3 linked regions of the Caenorhabditis elegans genome follow. The protein of the gene in region 3 interacts with the protein of the main gene of each other region in a pairwise test. Each region holds a gene or a part of one and is shown on either strand. Other genes may lie near its edges. The genes, in order: sex-1, rpn-7 and memi-2.

Evidence for each region.
Region 1: the proteins of memi-2 (region 3) and sex-1 interact in a two-hybrid assay, tested with the Caenorhabditis elegans proteins (2 studies listed by BioGRID).
Region 2: the proteins of memi-2 (region 3) and rpn-7 interact in a two-hybrid assay, tested with the Caenorhabditis elegans proteins (2 studies listed by BioGRID).

The regions. Positions count from the first base shown.
Region 1 is NC_003284.9:10,199,459-10,208,324, forward strand, and holds sex-1 (Steroid hormone receptor family member cnr14), read right to left. Parts: upstream 5,964-8,866; coding exon 5,790-5,963; intron 5,676-5,789; coding exon 5,483-5,675; intron 4,560-5,482; coding exon 4,411-4,559; intron 3,799-4,410; coding exon 3,657-3,798; intron 3,270-3,656; coding exon 3,073-3,269; intron 3,018-3,072; coding exon 2,483-3,017; intron 2,429-2,482; coding exon 2,301-2,428; intron 2,251-2,300; coding exon 2,164-2,250; 3' UTR 1,871-2,163; downstream 1-1,870. Other genes in the region: nucb-1 (NUCB1-like N-terminal domain-containing protein), read left to right, coding at 1-144, 306-388, 437-529, 581-691. UniProt on the Caenorhabditis elegans protein: Transcriptional regulator which is involved in the sex determination and X chromosome dosage compensation pathways.
Region 2 is NC_003282.8:9,313,148-9,319,986, reverse strand, and holds rpn-7 (26S proteasome non-ATPase regulatory subunit 6), read right to left. Parts: upstream 3,349-6,839; 5' UTR 3,345-3,348; coding exon 3,282-3,344; intron 3,237-3,281; coding exon 2,394-3,236; intron 2,344-2,393; coding exon 2,017-2,343; 3' UTR 1,757-2,016; coding exon of another isoform or gene 1,628-1,756; 3' UTR 1,583-1,627; coding exon of another isoform or gene 1,457-1,582; 3' UTR 1,411-1,456; downstream 1-1,410. Other genes in the region: F49C12.11 (Translation machinery-associated protein 7 homolog), read right to left, coding at 21-55, 109-196, 524-595; nemt-1 (Methyltransferase type 11 domain-containing protein), read left to right, coding at 701-905, 955-1,084, 1,130-1,248, 1,292-1,410, 1,457-1,582, 1,628-1,756; F49C12.9 (UBA domain-containing protein), read left to right, coding at 3,880-4,018, 4,085-4,185, 4,233-4,670, 4,778-5,017. UniProt on the Caenorhabditis elegans protein: Acts as a regulatory subunit of the 26S proteasome which is involved in the ATP-dependent degradation of ubiquitinated proteins.
Region 3 is NC_003282.8:13,396,885-13,403,461, forward strand, and holds memi-2 (MEiosis-to-MItosis transition associated), read right to left. Parts: upstream 3,623-6,577; 5' UTR 3,622-3,622; coding exon 3,142-3,621; intron 3,093-3,141; coding exon 2,910-3,092; intron 2,867-2,909; coding exon 2,675-2,866; intron 2,625-2,674; coding exon 2,442-2,624; 3' UTR 2,184-2,441; downstream 1-2,183. Other genes in the region: cyp-31A5 (CYtochrome P450 family), read left to right, coding at 4,422-4,514, 4,561-4,964, 5,012-5,108, 5,160-5,254, 5,829-6,014.

The sequences.
Region 1 (8,866 bases), on a different chromosome or scaffold from region 3:
TCTCTATGCAAGAGTTCTTGAATGATTCTGACAATCAGAATTCAAATCCACCAAAGCAAGAAGAATGGGAAGATCTGGGACAGAAGAAAGTGTATACGGATGAAGAACTCCAGCAGTTTGAAAGAGAATATGCACAAAAACAAGGTTAGTTTGGGGTTTAATCCTAGCAGGCATTTTGTTCCATTTAACACTTTTCTGAGTTTTTACTAACACGCAGGCTTACTTTGATTTCAAATTATAAAGCTATTAAAACATTTTAAAAATGCAATAGTGATGCCTTACTTAGAATTTTGATTTTTAACTAGGATGGGGAGAACATGCATATGACCCACAACAAGTTGCTTCAGAACAACAACATCCGCAAGAAGCTGTCCAACAACCACCACAGGTATAAAGTTACTTAACATAGTAATGTAATCATTTGACATTTTCACAGGCTCAGCAACAAGTTCACCCTGCTCAACAGCCAATTCAACCGGTGAATGCAAATCCACCACCTGTTCAAAATGCGCAACCGCCTGTGCAACAGGTACCAAAAACTGACATTCAGAAAATCCAATAATTACTACCCTTTTTACAGCAACAACAACCTCCACAGCAACCACCGCAACAACCACCTCAACAAAATTTGCCCCCTGTGCACCATGAACCCATCCAAGATCACACTAAAGATCCAACATACGGAATTTAATTTATATCAGTTGTAGATTTCTAATTTGTTTTAAAATGCTAATGCTTTTGGTTGAGATAATATGTAACTTAATGTCGAAACCCGGGTTGTATACTTTTGAATAGGTTTTCAAACATTCAGAATTGTCATTGGCCATTTCTTGTCTGTCTATTCCTTTGTCGATTGGACCTGTTAATCCCAATTCGGACAAAAACTGCATATTATGAAATGAACGCATTTATCAGAATATTTTTATATATGAAAATAAGTAAATAAAAAACACTACCTCACCAATCTAGGATTGCAGTGCGAAAAAGAAAAAAAAACTTTTGGAGAGCTTTGCAGATTTGCGAATAGACAGCGTAAAACTTCAATTCAATAATTGGAAAATTTGAATCGAGTGAAAGAGTTAAACATTCGGAACATATAAAGAAAAACCTAATTTTAATTGGTTCCGTCACGGCAATCGTGAAAAAAGTCAAAATTTGTTTCAGCTTAAAAGTTTCAGCACTGAACCGAAATTATTAATTTCAAGAAGCAAAAACAAGAATCTCCATTGGTTAAGATGATACATTTGCGTTTGGAAATAGTTATTTTGTAGTTAGAATATCGCCCGCGAGCACAGTTTTATTGAAAATCTTGATTCTCACTGTTTTATATTTCAAAAACAATATCACTCGTCCTGTAATTTTCTCATAACCATAACTTCTTGTTTTCTAGCACAGTTAACGCATGAAGATGAAGCTCTTAGGAAAGTTAAAAGAATCATGCCTTCGTTTGGTCTTGAAAAAAATAAATCTTTCATAATGCATTAACATCTCCTAACGGAATAGCCAAAACTATTCTATATTGTTCAGTCAATACAGGTGTGCTCACTTTTTGCTGAATACTGAATAGTAAGAACCCTGTGACAAGTTGCTTGTTCGAGGTAAAAGTCAGTTCAATCGAGATCGGAGCCATTCTGATAGAGGTCGACGGCCATGTGTCTCGATTTTTCCGATGTTCGATGTCGATGTTTTTGGTTTTACTCGCATACGTTTTCATAATCAATAACGAAAGTAATTCTACAACTCGTTGAAAATTAAATAATTAATGTTTCTCTATTGACATCGGTACGCCTTTCATTTTTGGAGCTCGATTGGACTGGACCTACAGAGGGTTATTAAAAACTGCAATATTGAAGTTATTAAGGCATTCTTTCAAATACTAAATTTATAGCACGGAAATCATTTTAATGATACCAATCGTGAATAAACCAGAACCGTCTGGTTGTGATACTTATGACAAAAAAGATTAAGATTATTGAGAAAGAAAGCAAAATGCTGGATTGTGGCAATCCTTGCAAGAATTATTAAACAGCAGTCATCAGACACGTGACTTTTGGGTTGGAAACGGGCAGGAAGGAGAGATTGAATACTTAACTACATTAAAGCGAAATTATTTGAAGGTGAATTGTGTTGGAATGAAAACGGATGAGAATCTGACAAAGGTGGCTAGCAGTGAACGGGAGTCTGTTGTTGATTTGGCGTTGGCTGCTGTGGTTGAGGGCTCTGATGCTCTGGAGCAGGAGTATATTGGTTCTGAATTAAGTTTAATATTAACCTCCCATCTATAGCTCCTTAATAATTACCTCTTGGTTGTTATGGTTAACAGGCAACGGAAGTGTTGAGAGTTGGAACATTTCCACAACGAGAGGAGGCAGGTTTAAAAACGACAAATTTTCTCGAAGAATATTGAGTTGCTGTTTATGTAGCTCATCTGGAAAAAGTTGATATAAAATAAAACAAAATATCAGTATGAAATACAACTTACTAAGTCGATTCAATTCATGAATACATTTCATAAGTTGTTTGTATGTATCGCATCCGTCAATGCGGCATGTCATTTTTTGGAAAAGAACTTTCTTGTAAAAATCAAACATTTCCAGCAACTGCAATTGACTTTTGAAGTTAGTAGAAAATTGTTGTTCCGTGGTTAGTGGCTGGCAAAGAATAAGGACAATGAATAGTGCAATATCTCCGTCTGTACATCCAATTGTAATGATATGGTTTGCAAATGCAAGCATTTCGTCCGCCAATGATCCATAGAGCAGTTGAAGAGACTTAAAGTCAATGAGTCTTCCATCTCGAAGCATAAGCCCTCTGTTCGACATTCCACGAACAATGCGAAGCAAGTAGAGTGGGAAAGCGTTTTTCCTGAGTAAAACTGCTTTGTCGTTTCCGTTAATGAAATTAAATTTTGGAATTTCTTTCACAAAGTTTACAACTTCCTTGATGTCCACGTCAATTTCATGAGCATAAATCTGCCAGGCATTCAATCGATTCATTTTTGAGTCTTCATTGATTCTCTGAAACATTTTAACGTTTAGTATGATTTTAAAAACATGCCCAAAAGTTACTTACGACATTGAATGGTCTTGCAACAATACTTCGGATTTTAATGTCAGTGTAAAATGAGAAGGTAGTGTGTGCTCGGAGTACAGCTTCATATACGGCGTCAACTTCTTCTTGCCGTTCTAGCGTTGAGATTTCCGGAACAAAAACGGAATCGGGGCTCTTATCATCTCGCATTGCATTTCTGAACTTCATTTGGCGAACAGCTGAAACAACATTTAAATCTTTATTTTTTTTGAAAAACTTGAACTCGGTCTTCCAAAAAGTTTTTGCTTAAAACAGGTACGGTTTTCTTTTTTTTATGAGTTTTTTCTTTTTTTAATGAGTACTTGTGAATCCTATAGAACACTATTTGAACATGTGAAAATTTAGCTTGAAATGTTTTCAGAAAAACTAATGGTTTCAGGTTTTATGACGAATATAGAAATCGTTTTCGTTTCAGCTTATTGAGGCTTCACAGTGATCAAACCTTAAAACCTCAATAGACTTTGATTTCTAATAAATTATCATTTGTGTAAACCCTATTGAGCCAACTGCGTCAGGTGTGTTTGACACCACAAAATTGTTGCACACTTCTATCTGATCAAACTTACAATCTTTTGACATTCCAGAATCAAGGCATTTTTTGAAACGACAGTACTGGCATCTGTTGCGGCTCTCGCGTTTGATCTCACAAACTTGCTGTTTCAAACACCGGTAATCAATCTTGCGCTGAATGCTCCGACGGAAGAATCCCTGAAAGAAATAGTTAATTCAAAAAAAAACTAATTTGATGGCACGTGTCGGTGCCAAGAGTACGCCCCTTGTAAAGGATTTACTGCCTTTGTGCTGAAGTCGAACCATTTTTTGAAATCTCAAAATGTGAGCGGGGCGTTGTGATGTGTAAATGACCAAGAATAAAGAAGGGAAGAATGAGGGATTCAAATTTAAATTAGTCATCTTATCCGCTTAAACTTTCTCGTTCAGTTGATGTTTTTCTTTGTATCTAACGCACTTGCTCAGCAGACCAACCAACCATGTTTTATTAACCGTCATTATATGTATTTGCCGAGTAAGGCTTGTTCCTCTTATGTTAGTATGCATCCAAGACACTCGCACAATGGGAAAAGAGAGTCCTTAATGCACATAGCAATACACAGTCTCCAAATAATTGCGCAATTTGTGTTGGGGAAGTGCTCATTCTCTCGCTCTTGGTCTAACATAAGGGAAAACAAAAAATCAAATAAGACGGTCATAAATATAGGTTTCGTAAATAGAACAAGAAGGGGATTTATGAGTGGAGAAGGGTTTCATTAAATTCAATAGAACCACGTGATTAGTGATCATTTTAGGACCATTCATGCCTACCTTGCATCCTTCGCATGACGTCACTCCGTAATGGTATCCACTTGCTTTGTCTCCGCATACTTTGCAAAATGAGATCGCCTTCCCAATGTGATGACGTTGAGTGGTATGACCATTTGATAAGGAATCAGGAGGAGACAACGATGAAGTTACTGTAAATGTAAAATTATCTAAGAAATTTTAGAAGAGTCAATTTTCAAGTGGGTGATATGGTCATACAACATTTCTTCGATTCTTCGAATTCTTCTGTTTTATTCTTTTTCTAAACTTATTTACACATCAGAAATATACAAATTTAACTCAACTTGGCAGATTACAGATTTAACATGCTATGTATACCAGTGAAATTTATTGAAGTACACTGTGCACACCATATTTGTTTCCTTCTCAATGATGACGTGATAGTATTTACCTAGTTTTCCTTGGTCCCGTTCTCTCCGCGACTCAGTAAGCTCTTAGCCACATCTTCAAGATTTGTGGCATATGCGTTCTCATTGTCTCTCTCACTCTCACAGTCTTTTTACCACGCCTACATCGCACTCTTTCACCGTTCTCTACGTTCTCCTCCTTTATTACACTTCGTCTTCTCCTCTTCTTTCACCCATCGGCATTCTTTTATTACCGTACCCATACATCACTGTGGTCTGGCAGCGGACGTCCAAAGAAATGACGAAACCTGGAGATTATTACGCAACCACGTCATAGCCGCTTGCCTTCACTTTCGTTGTACAAAAGTAGGCCATCTTAGAATACAGGAAGATACGTGGAACAGAGCACAACTGATCTGGTCCCTATCGAGCTAAATATGATCCAGAGAGGGAAGAGATGAAGAATGATTGCAAAGTCTATTAGACTTTTTCATTTTCTCTGCTCTCATTCTTCTATCAATTAAATGGGAGAAATAAAGAAAAAAGGCGAGAGAAACTCGGAAACTTGCAACACTTCTCAGACACATGTTCTTAGGTGAGGAAAAAAATCTGTGTTGCTGTAGATGTTGCTGCCACTTGTCACCACACACTTGATGATATGCCCCACCTACTGATAGATTTTGATAGAAATAGACTCCCTAACTTACCACTTGTTGCCGGCGAGCTCACGCTGGCTTGTGACGCCGTATCATAGAACTGATGGTGATTGTACCCATTGACGTTATTGAAGTAGCGACGGTGTGAGAGAGGGTCAGCGTAGTTGTTGGCGTTACCACTTTGAGCTGCTGTCGATCCGTTTTGGATTTGGAATTCTGACGAGAATTCATCCGTCACGTACGTCTGCAAATTGAGAAGATTTAGTTTTCAGTTTAATTCCTGGATTTCTATTTTGAAACTACGCATTAACTTTGTAAATCAGAACAAAATATGAAAATGATGACGACAAAAACTTACAGCTCCAGTCGGAAGATGTGACCATTGACCATTTGTTCCTTCTGGTTTGCTTGCCTCTGATGATGGAATTGAAGCTGTTTTTCCAGAAGGGCTGTAGTATGGAGATGTGCATACAGAAAGCGGTGTGTCAGGATTTGTCAGTAACAGATAGTTAGGTTTTGTTTCGAAACTCATCTGAAAATTAAAATTATTGAGTAATGCAGTAACGGACAACTTTCACAGTGGGAAGAGACAGAGAATTGGTAAGAGAATTATCTGAAAGGTAAAAGAAAGAAATGGAAAATCTGCTGACAAAGGAAAAGAACAGCAGTTCGAGAAAAACGTGATAACAATTTGATGAAGAGAACATGGAAAGCTAGAATCTAGAAATCAACAATTAGTTTTTAAAGCAGGGAACTATTAACTAGCAATAAGGAAGGCTGGTATCGTGTATTAATCTGCGCTGAATGCCTGCCTGTGGGTGAGAGGATGGGGAGAGACGAGGAGGATAGGCGGAGCTGAGGAGGAGTGCACCACTGGGAGATTGCTCGACAAGCAAGCACATTTCGATTAAAAAAACGGGTGGCATGAGGTGAGCTTCACACATGGTTTTAGAGTAAAATTTTACCTTTTAATTGATATTTTAGTACCGGAAAGTAAGAAACGTGTTCAACTTCTTAAATTAAAATTCAAAAGTGATCTGAATAGAACAATTTCCAAAAGCATTATGAAGTTTCCAACAAATTCAACTAGGTTGAGAAGATGTGATACAATTTATAACTACCTAGTATAGTCCTTCACATGTTAAGCCGCTACTACACATGTGTGCATTTTTTTTTTAAAAGTTTTTGGTAGAAATCATGGATGCAAAAATTGATCAGCCAAGTCCACAATCACGCACAAAAATAAACGAAGATAGTTTGAGCGAACAAGATTACTGCGTTCTCCCCCGAGAAAATGATTGCGTTGTTCTAGGCAATTCTTGCGCAATTTGCAATTAGATATTCCATACACAATGTGTTGCATGGTTGCGTGCCTTTCTCACAGGAAAAAACTAGGGAAGAGGAGACGGTAAGATAAAGCAACAGAAGGAGGGCTCGAGATGAAGTACTATCCACTCGAGCTCACTTCACCATCATGTTAAGGTGTGAATTGACACCTCTTGGGTGAGGAGAAGTGACGAGATGTTGGGAAGCGATGACGTGTAGTGAGAAGAGTAAGATAATAATGTTTACAGAGTTGCAAAGAATCACACAGAGAAAACTCAACAAACTAGAGATATGCACAATGAAAAACAAAATATCGATCCAAAAAAGTGCGGACTGAGAGAGAAGAGGAGGCAATGCAGTGGTCCGCAATTGTTGGAGATGAAAAACGAGACAACTGTGATCGAGAAATGAACAGTCTGCAAAGGGGAGGAGAAGAGGCGAATGCGCACAACAAGACACCGTCTGGAAAGAGGTCTGCCGGTTTACAACCACCTTTAAAAATTGGTGCACATCGCTTGCGCATACACAACTTGGGAGATGAAATATATAGGACGGGAGGATACTCTAATAAGAGTGAATATTATTAATATCTCCAAAAATGGCACATAATATAGCACATAACTTCAACAATTAACGCTCGCCGGCTATTGCGTGAACTGTGTAACTAGTAAGGCATCTAAATTACTAACGGAATTCTAGATCACCAATATTTCGTCCTCCACTTGTACACTCGGACATAACAATACACCTTCGTGCACATCTTTCCCTAGCTAACATCTCTTAATGATGCAACTTATGCCTTTTCCCCGGTTTCTATTACGAAGAGACGTTTCAGTAACATGCACAATCTTTATGAGTTCACGAATTGCATTCCCGTTTCACAAATAAACTTCACCCTAACTTTGTACTTTATGGAAAATTCATCAAAACGACAGCTGGAACTGTTAAAGCATAAAAGACTCTCTGCGAAATTTTGTGCATCTGTCGATGTACTTTCTTCAAAATGACGAATTTTTGAACAATTCATAAATTTGTTTCTATTGCACCATGTTCTTCCATCTACACAGGCATTTTTCCAAGAAAAAAAAGAAAACAGCTGTTTCATTTTTCTCTACTCTTAACGATTTAAGATACATAAGCAAGATAAAAATCATCAGGAAAAACGTAAGGGAAAGTGTTTTCCATGACACAAAACATTATCTAACCGATGAAGTTGATTAGATAGTGCAATGCATGGTCCGTAAAAGGGGCATAATTAACTGATAATGATTATTTGTAATAGAAAAAACTATGTTCTGTGTTTTCAGTTGTTTTAAAGGGATAGAAAGTTTGAAAGTGTTAAAAACACTGAAACTAATATTCATACTGTTTGAATTAAGAAAATATAAAAATCGCAAAAAAAATATATTGATCTGGATGTATATCTAAGACAACTTCAATCAAGGATCGGTTATTAAATTTCAAGCTATTTCAATCTTAGAGCAAAACAACATGGTTTTCTATTGCACTTCCCAAAAGTGTAAATCTGGTATTAGTGGAAACATAAAAATCCAGTGACCGTAATTAAAATCAAAAAGGGAGACTAGCAAACGGCTATTGCGTTGGTTAAGAGTGCACTTTAATTACCCCACTTTTAGGCTATCTAGAATATAATCTATTAAAAAGGAGCACTCTTCAAATTTTCCAAAGGTAAAATAGAATCAAAGAAGTTCCAGCTCTATTGGAACATGGCACCCGAAATAGTTGTCTACACGATTCAGAGAATCAGTAATATACCTTACTCAAACTTGTATTCATTACTTCTTCTAGTGACGTCATCAATTGACAACTGTAAGAAATCAGATTGTGCATAGCAGTTTCTGCCACCTTTTTTTGGTGCAGAGATCCAACTTTCCGAACGGATTGAGCGTACCGTCTCGAACAGCAGGGAAATGCGGAAAAATTGAAAATGGCGAAGACGTGCAAATACGAGTGTACCGTTGTTTCAACATGAAACTCAAAAACAAATGAGCCGGTTAATGGAGAAACCGAGAAAACAGAAATATGGCGAGTTGACAGCAATGTGAATGTGGACCTGTCTGACTAAGGAGGCGATGTGCGGACTCAGTG
Region 2 (6,839 bases), 4.1 Mb from region 3:
ATAATATTTGACCGAGGCAATTACTTCTTTCCTGATTTCTTGATTCCTCCACCGACTGCAAAACAGGTTGATAGTTTAATGTTATTTTACTGTTAACAAATAACTTACGAAGTGGTCCACGTTGTCCAGCCTTGGCTGCCATCTCCTTGATCTTTTTGGCTTCCTCTTGTTGCTTCTTCTTGAACTCGACGTCTTCCTGTAACCATGAAATTATTATACATTTTTCGGATCAAAAATTCTCACTATGACCGTTTCAAATGACTATTTATATTAACAACTCATTCAAAATTTAAAATCCTATTCGGTGTACGGAACCATGGCGCCTCCAAGTATCATGATTTCTTGATAAGTGTTCAAAAAATTATATGAGATTATCGTTTTCATCAACCTACGCTCAAAAGTGTGACAATATTGAACGAAAAACTGATCTATTGGATTTCTTCTCTCATTAATCAATTAGTTTTTTTTTGCAATATTACGCCCATGATAAGTATAAAATATCTAGTATCATCATCATTTTCACCTCAGAAAGATCCTTCTCCGTTTTTTTTGCGGCCTTCAGTGGCTTTGCCTTTCCTCCTTGACGTCCGGACATGATGATGATTGGCTGAAATTGAGTTTTATAGAGCTAATTTCACAAAGATTATATTTCGAACAATAATTGTACAAGAATACATTTACTCGTAAACACATATTCACTATGAATCTCCTACTTCACATTTCCTCTCTATTACTACAGTTATGGCTTTGGTTTTTTGATAGATTCATAATGTATCCATTAATGAGAATAGTAGCACCAAAGTTAGGTGTTCGTTTCATGAATTTGGGCTACTGGCCATCATCAGCACCTCAGTACGCAAAAATGAGAATGTTCATGGAAGATCTAGGTGACCTAGATGAATACGGTAAAATGAAAACACTAATCGAGGTTTCCTTGTTAATTTAAATGTTCAGAGTCGGATCGAGCTCATATTTATCTCTATGAAAAAGCATTATCAATGCATCCAAATTATCCTTATTTTGAACAATTTGAAATTCTTGAAGTGAGCTGTGGTCAAGGGTACTCTCTCGATTGGATAGAAAAGTAAGTGTCTTGCATTTTTTTTAAAACGAGAAATATGGAACACAGGTGGCATGGACCAACAAAATGCATCATTGGCTGTGATAAAGTTGTCACTAGAAATATGAATAACATAGTCTACGGAGATGCACTAGATTTACCGTTTGCAGATAATTCGTTTGATTTTGGTAGGATCATATCAAAAAATACCAAAAACATCTTGAAATTAAGTTTTGAATGTGGAAGCAGCTCATCTTTACTCGGACTACAAACTATTTTTCAAAGAGGGCTCACGAGTTTTGCGATCGGGTGGTGCCTTCTGCTACATGGACATTCGATATCCCCATGAGGTTAGTCTACTTGTAAAATTTATATAAATACAGCTAGTGATTACAGGCAAAACAGATTCAGGAGACAGCCACAGCAGCCGGTTTTGTAAAGAAACATTTCGAGTTTTGCACTGATGAAGTAGTTGAGGGCTTAAAATATTCAGCGAGAAAATATGATAGGCTACTAGAGAAAGTAAACTAGGCCAAAAGTTAAAAAATTTGTATATAAATATTTTAGGCTCCTTTCTTCGTTAAATTCTTCAAAAACTCGCTGCGAGCAACGTACTGTGCTCCTGGAACATCAACTTATGAACGATTGAAAAATAAACAGCGGATCTACATCGCAGCGATGTGGATAAAGAAATAAAGAAATGAAGAAGTGAAGAAGTGAAGAAGTGGTATTAAATAACATGTAAAAACATTTTAAAGATAATAAAACAATTGGTATTTGACCAAGAAAGTGTGAATACAGTTTTAAAAATACAGCGATGGTAATAAATTAATTCATTCAACCGGAAATGATGAAGAAGTGGGGAGATTCAAAGCGAGTTAACGCAAAGAAATAATACGGGAGAAGAAGAATAGGGTAAAATAAAAGGATTTACACGTTTGAAGAACTGGGCTCGGTTATGCATTGATAACTCTGGCAAGCTTCTGAATGCGGTTGAGCAATATATCTCCATCCTTGATAACTGCCTTGTACAGATGATTCTTCGAGTCACGATGATTCACTTCAATCACTCCGTTAACAGCATCAATACGACATTGCAATTGCCCAGTCGCAATCAGACGGTGCAATTCGCGGTCGATGAAAGCACGGGAAACACCAAAATCCTTGGCCATCATATCGATACGTACAGTCTTGTAAGGAGTCAAAAATTGTTCGTAAGCGCGATGGCGCATTCCACGAGAGTAATAGTTGAAGTGTGGCGATAGATAGCGATCAAACTTGAACTGAAATATAACGATAAGTGAAAAATACAAGATTTGTTTTAGTAACTTACTCTCTCGCTTTCAAGAGCGGCCAACTGAATGAAGAAACGATCGTAGTGACAATCATAGTATGATTCGAGATACTCACGAACTGGAATCAATGTTCCATTGAGTCCCCCTCCGGTCAGCTGTTCTTGAACTTCATTGCAACGAATAACCTTGGTACGAAGGTCTGGTCTGTCCAAAGCAAAGGTTGTGGTGATGACAGTGTAGAGAATCAAGTTTTCATATGTCATGAGCTCGTATGATCCGAATGTTGGCACAGCTTCAAGGAACAAATCAGCGGCTCCAGCAAAATCACGAACAGACATTCGGTAAAGCGCTTCGTAGGATCGAAGGCGATTTTTGCGTTCCCAGTCTCCTCCTTGCTCCATAAGTTCTTTTGCTTTGGTGATAAACTTGTTGATGAGATGATGATCGAGGAAGAAAAGTCCAACACGAATCATGGCGAAAACTACATCAATACGATATCCCATACCGACTGTCTTCTCATAGGTGGCTGTGTACGCTTTCAGAGCGTTGTCTTTGTCACCGATCTGACAGTAGTACTCGAACTTGCGGAGTAATCCCTGACGCACTTCAGATTCGCCAAGGTTCTTCTCCGCGTCTTCAACTTCTGCGGTGATTTCATCGATCTTTTTCTGATTAGCTGCTTTCATTGCAGCCAATTGTGTTGCATCTACGACAATTTTGAAGTCAGCGCAGACAAGCTCGTAGAATGGCGCCATGTCGAATTCTTTGATAGTTTCCTGAAGCTTCTCGAGCTTGGCTTCTTTCACGCTGCTGTCTACTTCGGGATGATTGAGCATGAATCTGGTTTGTGATAACTCAAGATCAGGCCATCTTGAAATGATCTGAAAACTCTGAACTTGAATGATTTCAAAACTACTGATCCGTACCTCCTTATCGAAGTTTCCATCATCTACGGGTTTCTTCGTGCTCTTTTTGGCAGCCTCTGTCATCCTCCTTAAAATGAAATATGAACACTTGAAATTGTAGCAAACGTTAAAAAGCGGCCAAAACGGAAATAAAACTGTTCAATGGTATTTCAAACGTGAAATAGCATTTTAGTTAGTTTTCATTAAATTTGCTGTAATTATCGAAATATAGATTTGGTATTAATTTTAGTGTCTAGTTTGTTAGTTTTTGAAAATAAGCGTTGATATCTATTTTAAATTCGTAATAGTGCCTTATTTTACATTACAGTGAGCGGCACAGTGAAAACTACGTTAAAATATCTATTTCATAGTGCATAAACAGACAAAACCGTATCAAAATTCAAGAAAACTGGGGGAAAAATTCAAAATGGGACGAATAAAAGTGGGCGGGGATGATGACAAGGGTTTGCAATACGCGGCGCATGCTTTCGCAATTCCGCCGCACGGTTTTATTCATCCTTTCATTATCGAGCGCTCTCGTTATTAGCGTTTGAACGCAGGAAACGGAGCATTTGTTTCGCATTCAGTTTTCAACCGCCATCCCGTTGTATTGAGAAACATGGTTAAATTGCATTTAAAAACCACCTGCCGTGAAGTCCCGATCGAAGAGATAATTTCTACTGGACAGATCCAATTCTTCAAGCATTTATCAGAAAGTACTTCCGAATTCAAAGACCAAAAAAACGTTGAACGTTTCCGTAAGTTTATTTCTTCAATTATCGATCATATTTATTTCTTCAATTATCGAATCAATCACTTTTCAGGTTTGATTTATAACGGAAGAGCATTGAATGAAGAGAGCCTAAAAAAGATTACTGATGCTGATTCAATCAGAGTCGTGCTGCTTCCACCGCTTAAAACAAATGTCAGTTTTTTTCCGTTTGAAACCCAAATTAATTTTAAGATTTTCAGAACCACATCGAAGAAGAGCAAAAAAATCGAATCAGTATTGCTCTCAAGGAGTGTACCGCCCCATATACACGCCCAAATGATCGTCGGCTTCATGGTTTCAACCACGACTTTGCACTTCCAGATCACATGACAACGCTTCTTGAGAAACACCCACAGCTGGTTCATGATAATCAATTTTTATCTGTTCTGAGTGATTGGTCATTATTCCGTGCCTATTGCGTTCAGAACGATTTCAAAGATGATCCAATTCGGGGACAATTCATGTACACGAATCCCGATTTCTTGAAAGTAGTAGAAAATATTCTATCGACAGTAGGATCTCGTTACGGATACGAAAACCTTGATTATGCAAACGTGGAAAGAAATAGACCAGGAATGCTTGCAGCTCAGCGACCAATTGGAGGTGCTCAACCGGTTACTCATGCGTTGCTTCAAAATGTAAGATTTCTTGGACACACTGATTCTCATAATTCGAAAAGAATAATTGAAATATAATAATAGTTGAATACATATTTCTACTAAATTCTCCATGCCAATTTTTTCAGGCTCTCCAAGCAGCCCTGGCAAACATTGCAGTTCCTCCGGCAAATCGGGTTCCAGCTCCCGCCAATGTCCAGCCAGCGCAACAGCAGCAAGAAGAGCCAATGCAGCAAGGATATGAACAACAAGCTGCGACTCTCCGCGAGTTTGGATTTGAAAATGATGAGCTCATTCAGTTGGCTCTCGAACAGGCGAATGGAGATGTGCAAGCGGCTATGGAGTTTCTTATTGATCTCCAAAATTAATCTACACCAATGGTTTTATTCTGTCTTCTCATTAACTTTTTCTGTCTATAAGTGTTCATAATTCGTTTTTAATGCATTCAAATTGCCCTATTCATTCGTCAATAGGGCTAAAATAATCTCATATCTGTTTAAAATAAAGCAGTGAAATGAAATCACCGTTTATTCGTCTAAATCACTCTTCTACAAACTCTTCTCTGCTTATTTAGTGTCTCTGGGTCACTATAACATCGGATAACAACTTATTTCCCTGGGGTTGGGAATGGCAATATTCACTTCGCTTCTGATTCAAAAAAAAATACAAAATAGTCCAGTACATCGGCAAATACTCTTTTACTACGGACATATTTTTTACTACTTCTTATAGTGATTATTACAACGAGTTGAAAATGCATTTTTTATAGTATCATACATTCTAGAAATTAACAATTGTACTTATCAATTAAATAAAATTAGATAGGCCACAGTTTCAGTTTATGCTCGAGTAGTTCTAGCAAATCTGTGTTGCTTTCTTCTGACGGGATACTGAGTTGGAGTTGGCGGAGTGATACTGCTGGGTTACTGTAGTGGTACTGTAGGCGCAATTAATATTTTTTCGCAGAATCAACAAATTTGTTCCATACCTATTGTTTTTTTTGAAAATAAAAAAACATTTCCTGGTCCGTTCGGTAAAAATTTACCGTATTTCCTCTATCAGTTTTGCACCCATTCATCTGTTCCCTATGCGATTCAAATTTCGCATTATAAACACATTCTACAAATTAGGAAAACTCTTACAGACTTGGTATATAAAGTCAGAATTGGTTAGTTATGATTACAACTCGGCCAATTTTTGGCTAGCATTCGTAAAATTCGTTCTTTTGGCCCAATTTTTGCTAATTTGCTAATTTTTGTGTTATAACAAAAAGTTTGCTCTTTTATTGATTAAAGTGGTAATAAGACAATTTCTTCCAATTATCAAACTGTAAAGCCGACATTGGACAATTCTCCGAATATTCACATGTATGTTTAACATGTTTCAGGATTCAATTTGAACATTTTCCATTTATGAATTTGCAGAAGAGGATCGTAACCCATCACGAAGAATCTAGAAGCCCAATCTTTGGTAGTATTGGCTCTTCACATCATACGTTTAATTAAACGAATCAATGAATAATTCGATTTACAATTTTTATTTTCAATCTATGTACATAACCAAATAGATCATTTTTTAAACTTATATAAAAAATCTAGAAATCTTTGAAATCATAAAACCATGGTTATGTTCTTGGTTATTCAGTTCAACGAGTCAACTTATTCAGTTAAGTCAGTTATTCAGTTCAACGAGTCAACGAGTTAAATACCAATTGCAACCAGAAAACAATCTGAGAATCCAAAAACCCTGCAATTAGAATTTTGTTTTCTTCTAATTGTTTGAAGTTTTCACGTACACAAATCAAAAAGATCAAGCATGATTATTAAAGTTTTTGGAGAGCAGGTTATTTTAAATTATCCAAGATTTACCGTTTTTATTTACTTTTGAGATTAAATTATAGACTAAATGCCAACTAAAAAATCTTAATATGATCATTTGAACAATATAAAATCACGAATCAAAGTTTAATAAAATAGTTTCCTTGGTTTGAATGATTTTCCTAATTCACCTGTTTTTTAAAACTTCAATTATCACGAATTTCTTTTAAATTTTTTTTTGTTTTTGCTATTTTCCTCCTTTTTTAGTTTCTGACATGGTTGGATTGAAATAAAAAGAGATTTCAAGCGTTTCAAAAGTTCATTGGCTTTAAACTTCTTGATAATAATACATTTTTATTCAAATTTTGTCTCT
Region 3 (6,577 bases):
GAAAAAGATATGAACTTTCAGTTTCCCGGTTCGTGTATTTTGTGTAATCTAGGAAATTGGAAAATCTACTTTTTGTTACTTTGAAGGCTGAAATCAGGGTTGACGGGCAACGATTTTTCCGGCAAATCGGTAAATTGCCGGAATTTAAAAGTTCCGCCAAATTGGCAAATTGCCAAAATAGAAAAGTTCTGGAAAATCGGAAAATTGCCGAAAATGAAAAGTTCCGGTAAATCGGCAACTTGAAAAACTCCGGCAAATTTCCGGCAAATCGAAAATTTGTCGGGATTGAAAAGTTTTGGCAAATTGGCAAACCGGTAAATTGCCGGAATTGAAACGTTCCGGCAAATTGGGAAACCGGAAAATTTCCGGCAAATTGGCAAATCCGGGAAACTTCCGGAAAATTGCCGGAATTGAAAAGTTCCGGCAAATCGGAACACCGGCAAACCGGCAAATTTCCGGTAAATTGCCGGAATTAAAAAGTTCCGGCGAATCGGCAAACTGCCGGAATTGGAAAGTTCCGACAAATTGGCAAACCGGCAAATTTACGGCACATTGCCGGAATTGAAAACTTCCGAGAAATTGGCAAACCGGCAAATTTACGGCAAATTGCCGGAATTGAAAAGTTCCGTCAAATTGCCGGAAACAAAGAGTTCCGGCAAATTGGCAAACCGGCAAATTTCCGGAAAATCGGGAAATTGCCGGAATTGAAACGTTCCGGCAAATTGGGAAACCGGCAAATTTTCGGCAAATTGGCAAATTGCAGGAATTGAAAAGCTCCGGAAAATTTTCAAAATTCTGGCAAATCGGCAACTTGAAAAACTCCGGCAAATTGCCGGAATTGAAAAGTTCCGTCAAATTGCCGGAAACAAAGAGTTCCGGCAAATTGGCAAACCGGCAAATTTCCGGAAAATCGGGAAATTGCCGGAATTGAAACGTTCCGGCAAATTGGGAAACCGGCAAATTTTCGGCAAATTGGCAAATTGCAGGAATTGAAAAGCTCCGGAAAATTTTCAAAATTCTGGCAAATCGGCAACTTGAAAAACTCCGGCAAATTGCCGGAATTGAAAAGTTCCGTCAAATTGCCGGAAACAAAGAGTTCCGGCAAATTGGCAAACCGGCAAATTTCCGGAAAATCGGGAAATTGCCGGAATTGAAACGTTCCGGCAAATTGGGAAACCGGCAAATTTTCGGCAAATTGGCAAATTGCAGGAATTGAAAAGCTCCGGAAAATTTTCAAAATTCTGGCAAATCGGCAACTTGAAAAACTCCGGCAAATTGCCGGAATTGAAAAGTTCCGTCAAATTGCCGGAAACAAAGAGTTCCGGCAAATTGGCAAACCGGCAAATTTCCGGAAAATCGGGAAATTGCCGGAATTGAAACGTTCCGGCAAATTGGGAAACCGGCAAATTTTCGGCAAATTGGCAAATTGCAGGAATTGAAAAGCTCCGGAAAATTTTCAAAATTCTGGCAAATCGGCAACTTGAAAAACTCCGGCAAATTTCCGGCAAATCGGAAATTTGTCGGGATTGAAAAGCTCCGTCAAATTGGCAAACAGGCAATTTTTAAGCAAATCGGCAAATTGCCGGAATTTAAAAGTTCCGGGAAATTGGCAAACCGGCGAATTTCCGGATAATCGGGAAACTGCCGGAATTGAATAGTTCTGGCAAATTGGCAAAACGGCAAAATTCCGGCAAACTGCAGGAATTGAAAAGCTTTGGCAAATTGGCAAACCGGAAAAATTCCGGAAAATTGCCGGGATTGAAAAGTTCCGAAAAATTGGAAAACCGGCAAATTTCCGGCAAATTGGCAAACCGGCAAACCATTTTTAAAACTCACAAGTACGCATAAATGAGCCAATGAGCCAATTCAATCATCGTCGGCCAGCCAACACAGAGCACAGATTATATGCCGAAACGGCAAATTTTGTGAGAAATGGAAATCTTTAGCCTCGCGATGACATTTCAGAGGCAGCAGCTGTTATTTGGAGCCCCGCACGTGGTGAGAGTGAGAACTCGAACAAAATTTAGAGAGGAGGAAAAGTTGTTGGAAAACGATCAAAGGTGAGTGTGGAGAAACGGATATGAGTAACCGGAAGAAGTTGTTTTTTGGAGTAAAGTAAAAAGAAGTTGTTTTTTGGAGTAAAGTAATTTAAATTCCAAATATTATAAAGACAACTACTGAATGTAATATATAATTCATCTCATCGTTAAAAAGATTGCAAAATCAACCAGTTCATATTCTGGCAATGTTAATTCAAGCAATATACATGTTAAACATAAGCAAAATAGTTTGGGGCAGCGGAGAATCTATATACAGGAAACGACCAAAACAAAAAAGGAAAATAAAATAAAGGGGAAAGTTAGTTGATATATTCAACAAGAACCACTGATACAATAATACAGAATTATGTACATTACAAATTATAGGACATATGTCTGGAGTTACTCGTCCTCTTCATCCAGTTTGAATGTCTCGAGGAACGTGATCAGGTCCTCGACTGGCACAATTCCCTTTCCCAGCGGGATCATGTCCTTTTCGATCTCAAATTCGTGGATTTCGACTGGATCTTCGACAATCAGCACACGTCGGTTCTTGCACTTCACTGTTTGCTCCAATTCGATGTACTGAAAATTTCATAAATTGAAAATCGAGATTTTATTGCTGCTCAACTCACTCTACTTCTCCCTGAAGTATTCCTGGCGTTCGAGTTGTTATTGTACACGATCCTCGTTTCCACGTGGCGCTTTCCTCGGATAGAACACGTGATTGATGCAGTCGAGGCCATCAGTCGGCCTTGTGAATCGAGTCCTGGCTCGAGATTTCCGTATTCCCGGCAGTTTGTGGTTCGCAGGTGACGAGTGGTAGTCTGAAAAAGTTATTGGCATGAAACAGAAAACTGTTTCTCGTACTCTGCCCTGTGATCGGTTCAACGTTGCCACCACAAAGCTGTCTGTCATCTGGAATCCTTCGTTTTCCATCTCCAGTTGTTCGAGCATAGCAAACAATAGATGGAATGGCATTTCAGTCGTTGCCTGGATCGCGAATCGAACCACATTTTGACCCGTCTCTTTCGGCTCGGCCAGGAAGGAAGTCTGAGATTAAATTTAATTCTTTCAGGAAAAATATTCTCAAGAAATTAACCAGAATCAAACTGGAGATATCCTCGACCAACAGCATGCGGCACTGAGCGGCGAAATAGTGTGGTCGCTGATTGGGATGAAGGAGCACGTGCTCGACAAGCGCTTTCTCCGATTCTCTGGTCGTGTTGAACCATCTTTGCGAGAAGAAGTCGTAGCGCTTGAGACGAAGACTTTCAATCGGCATTGTTTGAATGCTTCTGAGCACTTTGACAGCTTCATCGCGGATGACTGTCTTGCTCGGCTTCTTGTCGACGAGCTTTGGAGTCTCATCGATACGATGCAGGGAACGGTAGTTCTGATCGTCGACGAGCTCCACGTCTTCTCCATGCCCTTCGATAATTACATCATGATTGATGTTGGGTTGTGGTGGGAGGGCAGAGCAACCGGCTCGAGCGGTTTCCAGGTGATCTTCTTCGTTGTAGTTGACCACGTATCTGGTCGCTGTCAATTCGCGAAGAACGGTGCGAGATGGAGCTGACATTCTGAAAAATTTTGGTGTAAAAAATTAATGGAAAAGAAGAAAACAATGTGCTCAAGTGATTTGCAGATTAAGAATAATTTACCGATAAAGCTATGAAAAAGATTCATTAAATCTCTCTGAGCATCAGCTTAATACATCAGCAAAGAAGAAGAATTCACACGATCAAAAAATTTTGTTGGGCCTAAAATAATGAAATTGTTGCGCTGATTTTTCGCGGGGAGATCATTCATAAAAATTACAATATTCATTCAAAAATAAATACTTTTGGATTTGTTTTATTCACTTTTTTTAATGAAAAATTAACAGTGATTGGAACTTTTTAATAATTAAATCAAGATTTAAATATCAGAAAACAACAAAAATTCGTTCGAGAACTTTCTCAAGCCTACCGTACTCTTTAAAGGCGGCGCCTGAAGATTTTCACATGGCTATCACCACGACGCAAGTTAAATTTGACTTTTTACTTATAATTCGTTCTTTTTATTGCGATTTTTTAATATTTTCAGCATCGAAAAAATTTAACAAACGTTTTTCTTATTTTTAAAACGCTTTTGATGCTTTGTGCTCGTCTTAAAAAAAGCTGAAACGAATAATTCTCAAAAAAATTCGTCTTTTCTGGGTTACCGTACTCTTTAAAGGCGCATAACAATTTTCACATAGGTCTCGACAAAGCGTGGGAGAAATTTGAATTTTCAATCAAAAAACGTTTGTTTTGTTGCGATTTTCAGGCTTTTCCTCGAGTTTTCAACGCTTTTTGCTCGTTTTTTTCGCTCAAATAAATTATTTCAGAAGATTCTACAATGGGGGTTATCATCCCCGCTGTACTTCTCGCTTCGGCGACGGTGATTGCTTGGCTTATCTACAAACACTTGAGAATGCGTCAAGTTTTGAAGGTTTGATTGCAAAATTCATTTAAAGATAAATTGAATAAACTTTCAGCACCTCAACCAACCACGATCATACCCAATCGTCGGTCACGGACTCATCACAAAGCCCGATCCAGAGGGATTCATGAATCAAGTGATTGGAATGGGATATTTGTATCCAGATCCACGGATGTGTCTTCTCTGGATTGGTCCATTCCCATGTCTTATGCTCTACTCTGCCGATCTTGTTGAACCTATTTTCTCTTCCACGAAACATCTGAACAAAGGGTTCGCATACGTTTTGCTTGAGCCATGGCTTGGAATCAGTATTTTGACGAGCCAAAAGGAACAATGGCGTCCAAAGCGAAAACTATTGACACCAACCTTCCATTATGATATTCTCAAGGATTTCTTGCCGATTTTTAACGAGCAATCGAAGATTTTGATTCAGAAATTGTGTTGCCTCGGTGTAGCAGAGTGAGAATTTTAATTCTTACATAACTCTTTCGAACGTTTTATTTCAGTGAAGAAGTTGATGTTCTCTCCGTCATCACCCTTTGCACTCTTGACATCATCTGCGAAACTTCCATGGGAAAAGCTATCGGTGCTCAACTCGCGGAGGTTCGGGAAATTCTTCCATCTATTTAAATTTCTAAATGTTTTTTTTTTCAGAATAACGAGTATGTATGGGCGGTGCACACAATTAATAAGCTGATTTCAAAGCGAACAAATAATCCGTTGATGTGGAATTCATTTATTTACAATTTGTACGGTATTTAGTTTTAAAATTTTAAATTTATCATTAAAGATGATGTAGTCGAATTTTTTTTTGCTTTATTAGACTCAAAATTGTCTGAAAACTTCTCAAAAAAAATTATGACGGCTCAAAAAATGACCTAAAATTAATTAAAATTTGAAATTTGACCGAATTGTCAAGCGGCTGGAAACTAATTTTTTCGGGTATATAAGTTAATTATCTCGGGGTTTCACCTTCATTTAGGTATTTTAAAGTCGATGGACGGCGAGATTAGGTAAAAAAATTTAAAAATCTCGCCGTCCATCGACTTTAAAATACCTAAATCGAGTTGTAAACCCAAGATAATTAAATTGTATACCCAAAATTAGACGGTGATTTCGTAAAAAAATTTGTTTCAAGCCGGTCAAATCTCAAATTTTATCTAACATTAGGTCATTTTTCGAGCCGTCATAACGTTTTTTTTTAGAAGTTTTCAAGAAGTTTCATCATGAAATTCGGTGTTTTCAGACAATTTCGAATCTAATAAGGAAAAAATTCGAAAAAAAACATCTTTAATAATTTAACAATTAATTTGTAATTTTCAGAACAGAAGACGGACGGACTCATGAAAAATGCCTACATATTCTTCATGATTTCACGAAGAAAGTAATTGTCGAGAGAAAGGAAGCTCTACAGGATAGCGATTATAAGATGGAAGGTCGTCTCGCATTCTCGCGTCAAATATGCTGCACAATACGCATTCTCAGAATTTTGTGTTCCCGTAATAGAAAGTTTTAATTTTTGTTTTGACTTAAAAATGTATTTTTCTAATTTAAAGCGCATTTATTCACAACAAAAGTGAAAAAGTGAATATTACGTGTTTTTCAATGGTGCCGATTTACGGAAGAAATTAAAAATTGCAAAATGAGAAAATTCTTGCGAGGAAATAGATATTATCTTGCTCTCCTATCCCCAAAAAAGGTGTCGGTTTTTTGATTGTTTTTTCAGAAAATCAAAAAACGCAAATTTTCGTTTTTAGATTTTTCGAAAAAAATTTCGATTTTTCAAAAATTAGCTCAAAATTGTTCTTTTTTTTTAGAATAAATTTAAATATTTTTTCTCATCAATATAAACAAAATTAGATTTTAAAAAAATCATATTTTATGGTTAATTTTCGGAACATTTTTTTTCGATTTTCCCTGAAAAACATCGAAAAATGACACACACGTGATCCCCAACAAGGATGTCATTTTTCGATTTTTCGATGTTTTTTTTGGGAAAATCGAAAAATCGAAAACAAAATGTTCCGAAAATTAACCATAAGATATGATTTTTTTAAATCTAATTTTGTTCA